Mus musculus: one gene and its partner. The protein of the gene in region 1 interacts with the protein of each later gene in a pairwise test. Links are inferred from orthologs where the notes say so. Each region holds a gene or a part of one and is shown in the gene's direction. Other genes may lie near its edges.

Region 1 (4,302 bases):
ACAGGACGAACACCCCAGTTGCCTGGTCACTGGGTATTCGACCCATTAAGGCCTCCAGTGGCTCCCACACCTGGGAGACTTGGTTTGTGGAGCCGAAAAGATACAGTTGAAGTTTCCCAAAACTACTTTTCCCCTGAGGCGGCGCCGGTCCGGTCCCTAGGGAAACACAGGAAGCCCAAGTGACCCTGCGATGGATGCGCGGTTTTAGGGGTGGCATCTCGGGACCTCGAATCCCCCACCCCTAAGTCCTCAAGAAGAACGAACCTGGAGCTACAGCAATCCGGGTCGAAGTTAGACCACGGCGACACAAAGCTCACGCGCGTTCACAGTGCCGCAGGTTCCACTCTGTAGCCTGGGCACCGCGGCCAGTCAATCAGGACTCTAGGAAGCCGCCATCTTCCTGGCCGGAAGTTTGTGCGGCGCTGCCGAGACACCTTCTGGGAAATGTAGTTCAGTGGCCCTCGGGACATGGAAGCTGATAGGCTGAGGCGTTCTGGGGGTGTGGCTTGGAGTGGCTGGAATGGGGCTGAAGATGGGTAATACTGGGAGTGGGTGTGATCTGTGGTGGATAGAAGCAAAATTGGGCGTAATTTGTAGTTCCGGTTTAATCACGCTATGGTTCTCAAGGCTTCTGCTGAAATAGGACAGAAGCCTGAGCTGGGCGGGGCCGTTTGATGATTGACGGGGTAGGACTTGGCTTGGACTTGCCAAAGGCCTTCTCAGTTACTTATGTAACTTAGGTTGGCATTCATTCACTAGTACCTTGATGAGGACTGGTGGTGCACACCTGTCATCCCAACACTCCAGAGACCCGGAGACGAAGATCGGGCGTTTAGACCAGGCTGGGCTAAATGAGACGCTGTATAAAAACTAAAATGTAAAGAAAAAGTAAAGAAGGCAGCAGACACACTGTGGACAAGCTTATTGTTGCCAGTGCCTCCAACCGCCTGATGCAGCAGTTCAGACTCATTGAAGAGAAACGTTGTGGGCTACTGAGCAGGTGCAGGCTCTTGCCACCAATCCTGAGGGGCCTGAGTTCGATCTCGGAGACAAGTAGGACCACCACAGACAAAGATGAGTAAAGCAAAGTAATGAAAAATAAAAGCTGTGCAAATGCTGAAGCCAACTCCTACAGTTTTGGTTTTTTTTTGGTTTTAGAAACACACACACACACACACACACACACACACACACACACACACACACACAAAGACCTTCACATTAGAGCGAGTCCTGGTGAACAGGGGACACAAAAAATCCAAAATGAAAATGGAAGGTTTGGCCTCGGGTAAGGGGATACTGATATCTTTAGAGCGGGACAAAGGTCCTGGTCCTCCATCCTCCTCCCGTTCTGGAGGAAGCCGGCATCCTGGAGAAGGAAACGAAACAATAACTGTCCATGTGATCAGGGTAGGGGGGCTTCCTGTTTCCCAGCCCCTCCCGGGCCACTTTTGGCTATCGCAGCCTCAGTAGCCAGTGGCCAGAATGGCTTGAGATATGCCCTGGATCTCAGGCCTTTCCCAAGGTGCTCTGGAGAAGCAGAGAAGAGCGCAGCAGGGTCAACCCCCAGGGTGAGGGAGTTTGATGCTAAGAGCCGTAGGAAGAAAGAGGATTTTAGGGTCCCTACCCAATGCTTCTATGGGGGGTGGGGCACAGATAAGAGAAACGCCTTCAGACAGCTGAGGGGAGAAGAATGCCCAGTAGAGATGGGGGATGGGGGAGTAAGGAACAAGTAGATAGTTAGTGGGCACTATTGGAGAGGTATATGAATATTTAAATGTGTCAATCGGAGTAGACACCCCAAAAATCCTACAGGAAACAAAAAAACAAAAAACAAGGATTCTAAGGTGACGAAGGCAAGAACTGAAAGCAGACTGTAGTGACAGAGGCAATGAGTGCCCGGGCCACACGGCCCCGAAGCCGTCGAGGGAGGCATCCTCTGCCTGTAAGTGTGCCCCTCTTCCTGCCACACTCAGTCCCATGGATCCTGGGAACCCAGGCCTGCTAGGCTCAGAGCCCGTGGTGGTGTAGGGGAGTCCTCCACAGGTGGAGCTGGATATGATGGCCAAGAGACTGTGTGTGTGTGTTGGGGGGAAACGGGGTTCATTCACAGGGGGAGCTAGACCCTGTAGCTGAGAGCTCAGAGGAAGTAGATGCCAACAATGGACGCTTCGAGACTAAACCTGAGCTGCATCAGGAATACCTTGGTCCTGGCCTTCAGAGCCCAAGGAACTGGTAGGATGCATTTAGTATGTACCCTATATTCTAGCCCAACACCCCAACACCCCCCCTGCACAAAGCTGCCTCCTGCCACTCACCTGCCCATTGCCTCTGCTGCCTGCCTCTCTCCTCTTCCTGTTTATCCTCCAGCCATGCCGCTCATTCCCTACTCTACCTTCCTAGCGACCCTAGGGTTAGCCCTCCAGGTCTCTTCTGAGCCTCAGGTGGCTGGGGTTCCCCCACTATCTTCACAGGATCAAGGAGGGTTGTGATGTGGGATCCCATGCGGTTCTATCCTTGAGCCCAGAAGAACAGTGCGAGCCTGAGGTGGAAGCCCACCAGGTCCTGCAAGAAGCCCCCCTGGATAGTGGCCCTGCTGAGATATCAGTACCCAGTGTGTATGAGACCTTGCAGTGCAGGCTGAGCTCCCTTGAGGCAGTTGTAGCTGCCTTGCGCCACCACTCGCTAAGCTTTCCAAAGTCAGTGGAAGCAGAAGACAGAGACCAGGGGGCTCCGGGGCCCTTTGGTGATGAGAAAGAAGACGCAGGACCTGGACAGCAGGAGGCTGCTCGCCTCATAGAGAGGAACGCCTGGCTGCGGCTAGCCCTGTGCAACCGGGAGGATGAGCTGGCATGCACTCAGGCTTCACTGCAGGACGCCCAGGCAGAGAAGGAGACTCTGCAGAGACAGGTAAGCTGGTGACTGGGGAAGAGGCAGATCCAGCCTTGGGAGCAGACACACTGATGTGGAACAGTGACAGATGTGCCAAGGAAGTGACCAACAGAGACAGCACAGTGAGAGGGAGAGCAAGGAAGACAGGCAGGCTGCACCCCATGATCTTAACACTCAGGAAGTCCAAGAGGGACAGTCTCCACTCAGGTGAGCCCTGGCTAAGACCAACTTTGTTCTCAGCTGTAGACTGAGTCCAAGGCTAGCCTGGATTACAGACCCTACCTATGTCAGTTGCACTACACACACACACAAACACACACACTAATCCTGTCTTGGGGGGTGTTTTTTATTTTTCGTTTTTTCGGATACAGAATTTCTCTGTGTAACAGAGCCCTGGCTGTCCTGAACTTACTAGGGTAGACTAGGGTGGCCTCAAAATCACAGAGATCCACCTGCCTCTGCTTTCCCAGTGCTGGGATTAAAGGTGTGAGCTATGCCAGACTTATTTTAGGGTTTCTATTGCTGTAATAAAACACCTCAACCAAAAGCAACTGGGGAGGAAGAGATTTATTTCATCTTAAGACTCTCAGGCCACACTCCATCACTGAGGGAAGCTCGGGCAGGAACCTCAAGGCATGGAGGGATGCTGCTTACTGGCTTGCTCCCTATGGCTTGCTCAGCCTGCTTTCTTATAGAACCAGGACCAACAGCCCAGGGATGGCACCACCCACAATGGGCTGGCCCCTCCCTCCCCATCAATTGTCAATCAGAAAAGTGTCCACAGGTCCATTTCGGGGAGCATTTTCTCAATTGTGGTCCCTCTTCCAAAATGATTCCAGTTGATGTCAAGTTCACACGAACCACCACAGATCCTGAGATCACTGTGGCTGGAACAGAGTGGGAGAGATGAAGGCGCGTGGGGGAAGGCCACAGTATGCAGGGTGTTGAAAGCTAGTGTGCTCTGGTGTGTGGTGGATTCTGAGGGGAACTGACCTGCTGCAGGCGTTCACTTGTGCCATCTGATGACTGTGAGCGGAACAGTCTGGCGGTGGACCATAATCCTGAAGGTGGAGGAGGGGTGAAGTGGCCCGGGGCGTTTAGTGGAGGTGACCAGAAACCTACAGATTATGGGTGATGTTAAACCCAGATATGGTGGGACAAGCCTGTAATGATAAGGACTTCAGAGGCTCAGATGAGAGGATCACAGTTTAACACTAGCTTTGACGAGATAGGCAAATGTCTCAAAACAAAACTAGGACAAGTAGGGATACAGAATCCTCCAGTCAGGGCTGTGGGCGTGACTGGGGGGGGTAGAGTGACAGCCTAGAATCCTCCAATGAGGGGCTAGGGGCGTGGCTTAGCACAGCTTTCAGAGACTTCTCACAACAACAAAAATGAATTCTCCTGAAT
Region 2 (3,519 bases), about 48 Mb from region 1:
AACACTGTCCTGATTTGGGGGACCCCAGGGTGCCTGTTACTAAGATTTCCTGGCTCCAGCCACATTCGCCAAGTTTATTTAGACCCATCTTGGTCTCTGAACCTCCCAGTACTTCAGAGGCCTGGACCATAAGGAACCCTCTGCCATTTCCTTGGCTCACTGGTTCTAGGGTCCCCTCTGAGACCTCTCTATACCTGGGAACTAAGTAGCCTGTCCACTAGGCCTGGCCCTGGGAACCCTGCTTCCAGCCTGGGAGATCTCAGAACCCCTGGCACACGAGGGCAGGGACTGTAACTCTCCAGGTGTTCGGTACCCTATACCCTGAGTTGTAGTCTTGGGAGCCTTTCTGGAGGTGGCCTCCAATCTATACATCACTGTCTTGTTCTAGACCCTCTCGTTTGACCTGCAACAGCGCCTCTCGGATGAAGAAGGCACCAACATGGTGAGACCCTTTCTACCCCTCTCCTCTGACCTGTTCCTCTAGCTCTCCGAGGTGGTGACTCCATGTCTCTGGCCACCCTCTCTGGCCACCCCTCCCCAAGAGGCATGGTAAGCTGAGGCTCTGAGACTGATAAAAAAGCAGACTGACGTCTGTCAGTCATCAGACGGTGCATTTGCCAGAAAAGCAACCCATTGGTCCATGGTTGTGCCTCTTGGTGGGGCTTCCTGCAGCCTTCTTACTTACTGCCCTCTTTGTGGGGACCCCACAGGGACTTGACCCATTTGGACCTGTCACCTTTAGCTGATTGATTTTCACAACTAAGACTAAAAAATGCGATGGGGCCAGGCGTGGTGGCGCACGCCTTTAATCCCAGCACTCGGGAGGCAGAGGCAGGCGGATTTCTGAGTTCAAGACCAGCCTGGTCTACAAAGTGAGTTCCAGGACAGCCAGGGCTACACAGAGAAACCCTGTCTTGAAAAACAAACAAACAAACAAAAAATAGTGCAGTGGGTTTATTTTATTGTGACCCCTCCGAAGCGAGGCATAGGCTGCCAGGGTTGAAATGATGCCCACGTGGCTGGGGAAGGCCCTGGCATGCATGTTCATGTCCACTGTGGCTCACAGCACCTGCAGCTGGTCCGGCAGGAAATGGCCGTGTGCCCTGAGCAGCTGAGTGAGTTCTTGGATTCCCTGAGACAGTACCTCCGGAGCACGGCTGAAGAAAGGAACTGCTTCCAGTAAGTAAAGCGCTTACTGCATTGGGGTGGGGGAGAAGGCCAAGGTCTCTGGCTGGCAGGGGGCAGGCAGGGGTATGTGTGGCAGAGCCAGCCCTTCCCTAGGGGATGAATATGGCAGGAAAGCCTAGAAAGTGGGGCTCAGCTCCATGCCAGCTGTAGGAGGTGGTGGGTGAGTTCACCCCCAGGCCTGGGCTTCCTCAGCAAGCAGTTTGTTGGGAAGGGTAAACAGATGTCCTGGCTGAGGCCACTCTGGTTCCCACTATAACACAGAGCCTGACTCAAGTCAGTACCCGCTTGACTAAGGAGAGAAGCTCTCTACAGCTTCTAGGAGGGGTGTCTTCTAGACCGTAGGTCGCTTGCCATTACCACTCCTGTCCTTTTACCCTGGGCAGCTCAGCAAGGCAGAGCAGGGGACTGTGGGCACCAGTGAGGGGTCTGTACACTGTCAATATCAAGAAAGGGTGACAGTGGTTTGACTGGACAAAGGAATGGGTGAACAGCCTAAGGAGGGCTGCCACAGGCTGTGCATTGAAATGATGTCATTGGGAGCCAGATCCGTCCTGTCTTCTGTGTGAAGATTGATCGAGAAATAGCGGGGTTATAGGGAGAAGCCACACACTCAGGCCAGGAGGTTTGACTGACAATGGGGGCAATGATAAAGATTGTTTTAAATGTATATGAGCACTCTATCTGTATGTACACTTGCATGCCAGAAGAGGGCATCAGACCCCATTATAGATGATTGTGAGCCACCTTGTGGTTGCTGGGAGTTGAACTCAGGACCTTTAGAAGAGCAGCCAGTGCTCTTAACCACTGAGCCATCTCGCCAGCCTGCAATGATGGTTCTTAAAGGAAGAGAGGGAAGGGGAACTACACCCTGTACCCCAGGCACCCCTGTTTCCTCACCTGGGCCTTCCTCGTACTGTTGCCCCTCCTCCCAGTCCTTCTTGAAGGATGGGACCCTGAGATATACCAGTGCACAAGGCTTCCTCCTAGTGTGTCCTCCATACCCACACCTGCCCTGCCGTGCCACCATCAGCTGGGCAAAGGCAGTCACCAGGCTGGCAGTGATCGTCCCGTGGGAGCCACACTCTTATGAACCCAACTGTCCATGGTAGCCTTTGCTGTGCCTAGAGAGAGAGACCAGAGCAGGCACCTACACGGGCTGGCATAGACTGAGGCTGGCAGCCTGGCACCCCCATCCACTCATGAACCCCGAGCTCTGCATGTGATTCTAGGCTGGTACATAACAAACCAATGATGGGGCAGCAGTAGGGTTCCCTCACAGCCTTCTCCCTAAAGAGAGTCCCTCCTTGTGGTACTCGGGTGCACTTCGGTCTCATGTGAGAAAGAAAGGCATCCAGGGGCCAGGAGGAGCTGGTGGGGACAGGGACTCCACCAGAACCCACGTGGTCACACCACTGCTTCAGCCCCTCTGAGATGGAGTGACATCCTGGGTCACTCAAGTGACATGCCTGGGATTCTGGGACAGTATCTTTTCAGTTCCGGTCTGGGCTTCCTGGGGTTGTCTTAAGAGCAAAAGGCAGGAAAGAGACTAAGGCACAGGCTGTGTGCTTTGGTTTAAAAACCCACGTATTTTGTATGTATACATCCCTCTGTGTGTGTAGGTCAGAAGTCAATTTTTTTTGGGGTGGGGTCCTGAGCTGAATGTCCAGCTTGTGTACCAGGAGTTAGGGTGTGGTGTGTCTTAGTTAGGGTTGCTGCTGTTGGGATGAAATCCCATAACCAACAGCAACTTGAGAAGGAAAGAGTTTATCTCACCTGCACTTCAGATCCCTGTTCATCATGAAAGGCAGTCGGAGCAGGAACGTGGAGGCAGGCGCTGATGTTAAGGCTATGAAGGGTGCTGCTTACTGGCTTGCTCCCCCAGGGCTTGCTCAGCCTGCCTTCTTATAGAACTCAGGACCACCAGCTGGGGGATGACACACCCACCGTGGGATGGGCCCTCCCCCATCAATCACTGATTAAGAAAACGCCCTGCAGGCAAGCATACTGCCTTCTGGAAGCATTTTCTTATTTGAGGCTCCCTCCTTTCAGATGACTCGGGCTTATGTGAGGCTGGCATACAACCTAGCCAGCGCAAAGGGCAGAGGAAACTCCAGGAGTTGGTTCTCTCCTCCGTTATGTAGGTCCTGGGAATCAAACTCAGGCTATCGGGCTATGCTTCAAGCTCCTTTACCGGCTGAGCCATATTCCTGGCCCCAACATTGTTTTCGAGACAGGATCTCCAGTTTTGTTCACATGGATCCTCACATTCTACTGAGCATCTCCCCACCCCTCAAAACCAGGTGTTTTAAGCGCATCTTTAAAAACCCTGCT

Evidence for each region.
Region 2: the proteins of Ushbp1 (region 1) and Necab2 interact in binary tests that used the Homo sapiens proteins (3 or more experiments, as listed by UniProt). The two-hybrid records come from large-scale screens. The link is inferred for Mus musculus from reciprocal best matches to the Homo sapiens genes USHBP1 and NECAB2.

The regions. Positions count from the first base shown.
Region 1 is NC_000074.6:71,392,983-71,397,284, reverse strand, and holds the start of Ushbp1 (Usher syndrome type-1C protein-binding protein 1), read left to right. Parts: upstream 1-1,483; 5' UTR 1,484-1,571; intron 1,572-1,815; 5' UTR 1,816-1,891; coding exon 1,892-1,945; intron 1,946-2,113; coding exon 2,114-2,235; intron 2,236-2,474; coding exon 2,475-2,910; intron 2,911-4,302.
Region 2 is NC_000074.6:119,467,203-119,470,721, forward strand, and holds part of Necab2 (N-terminal EF-hand calcium-binding protein 2), read left to right. Parts: intron 1-388; coding exon 389-442; intron 443-1,066; coding exon 1,067-1,179; intron 1,180-3,519. UniProt on the Homo sapiens protein: May act as a signaling scaffold protein that senses intracellular calcium.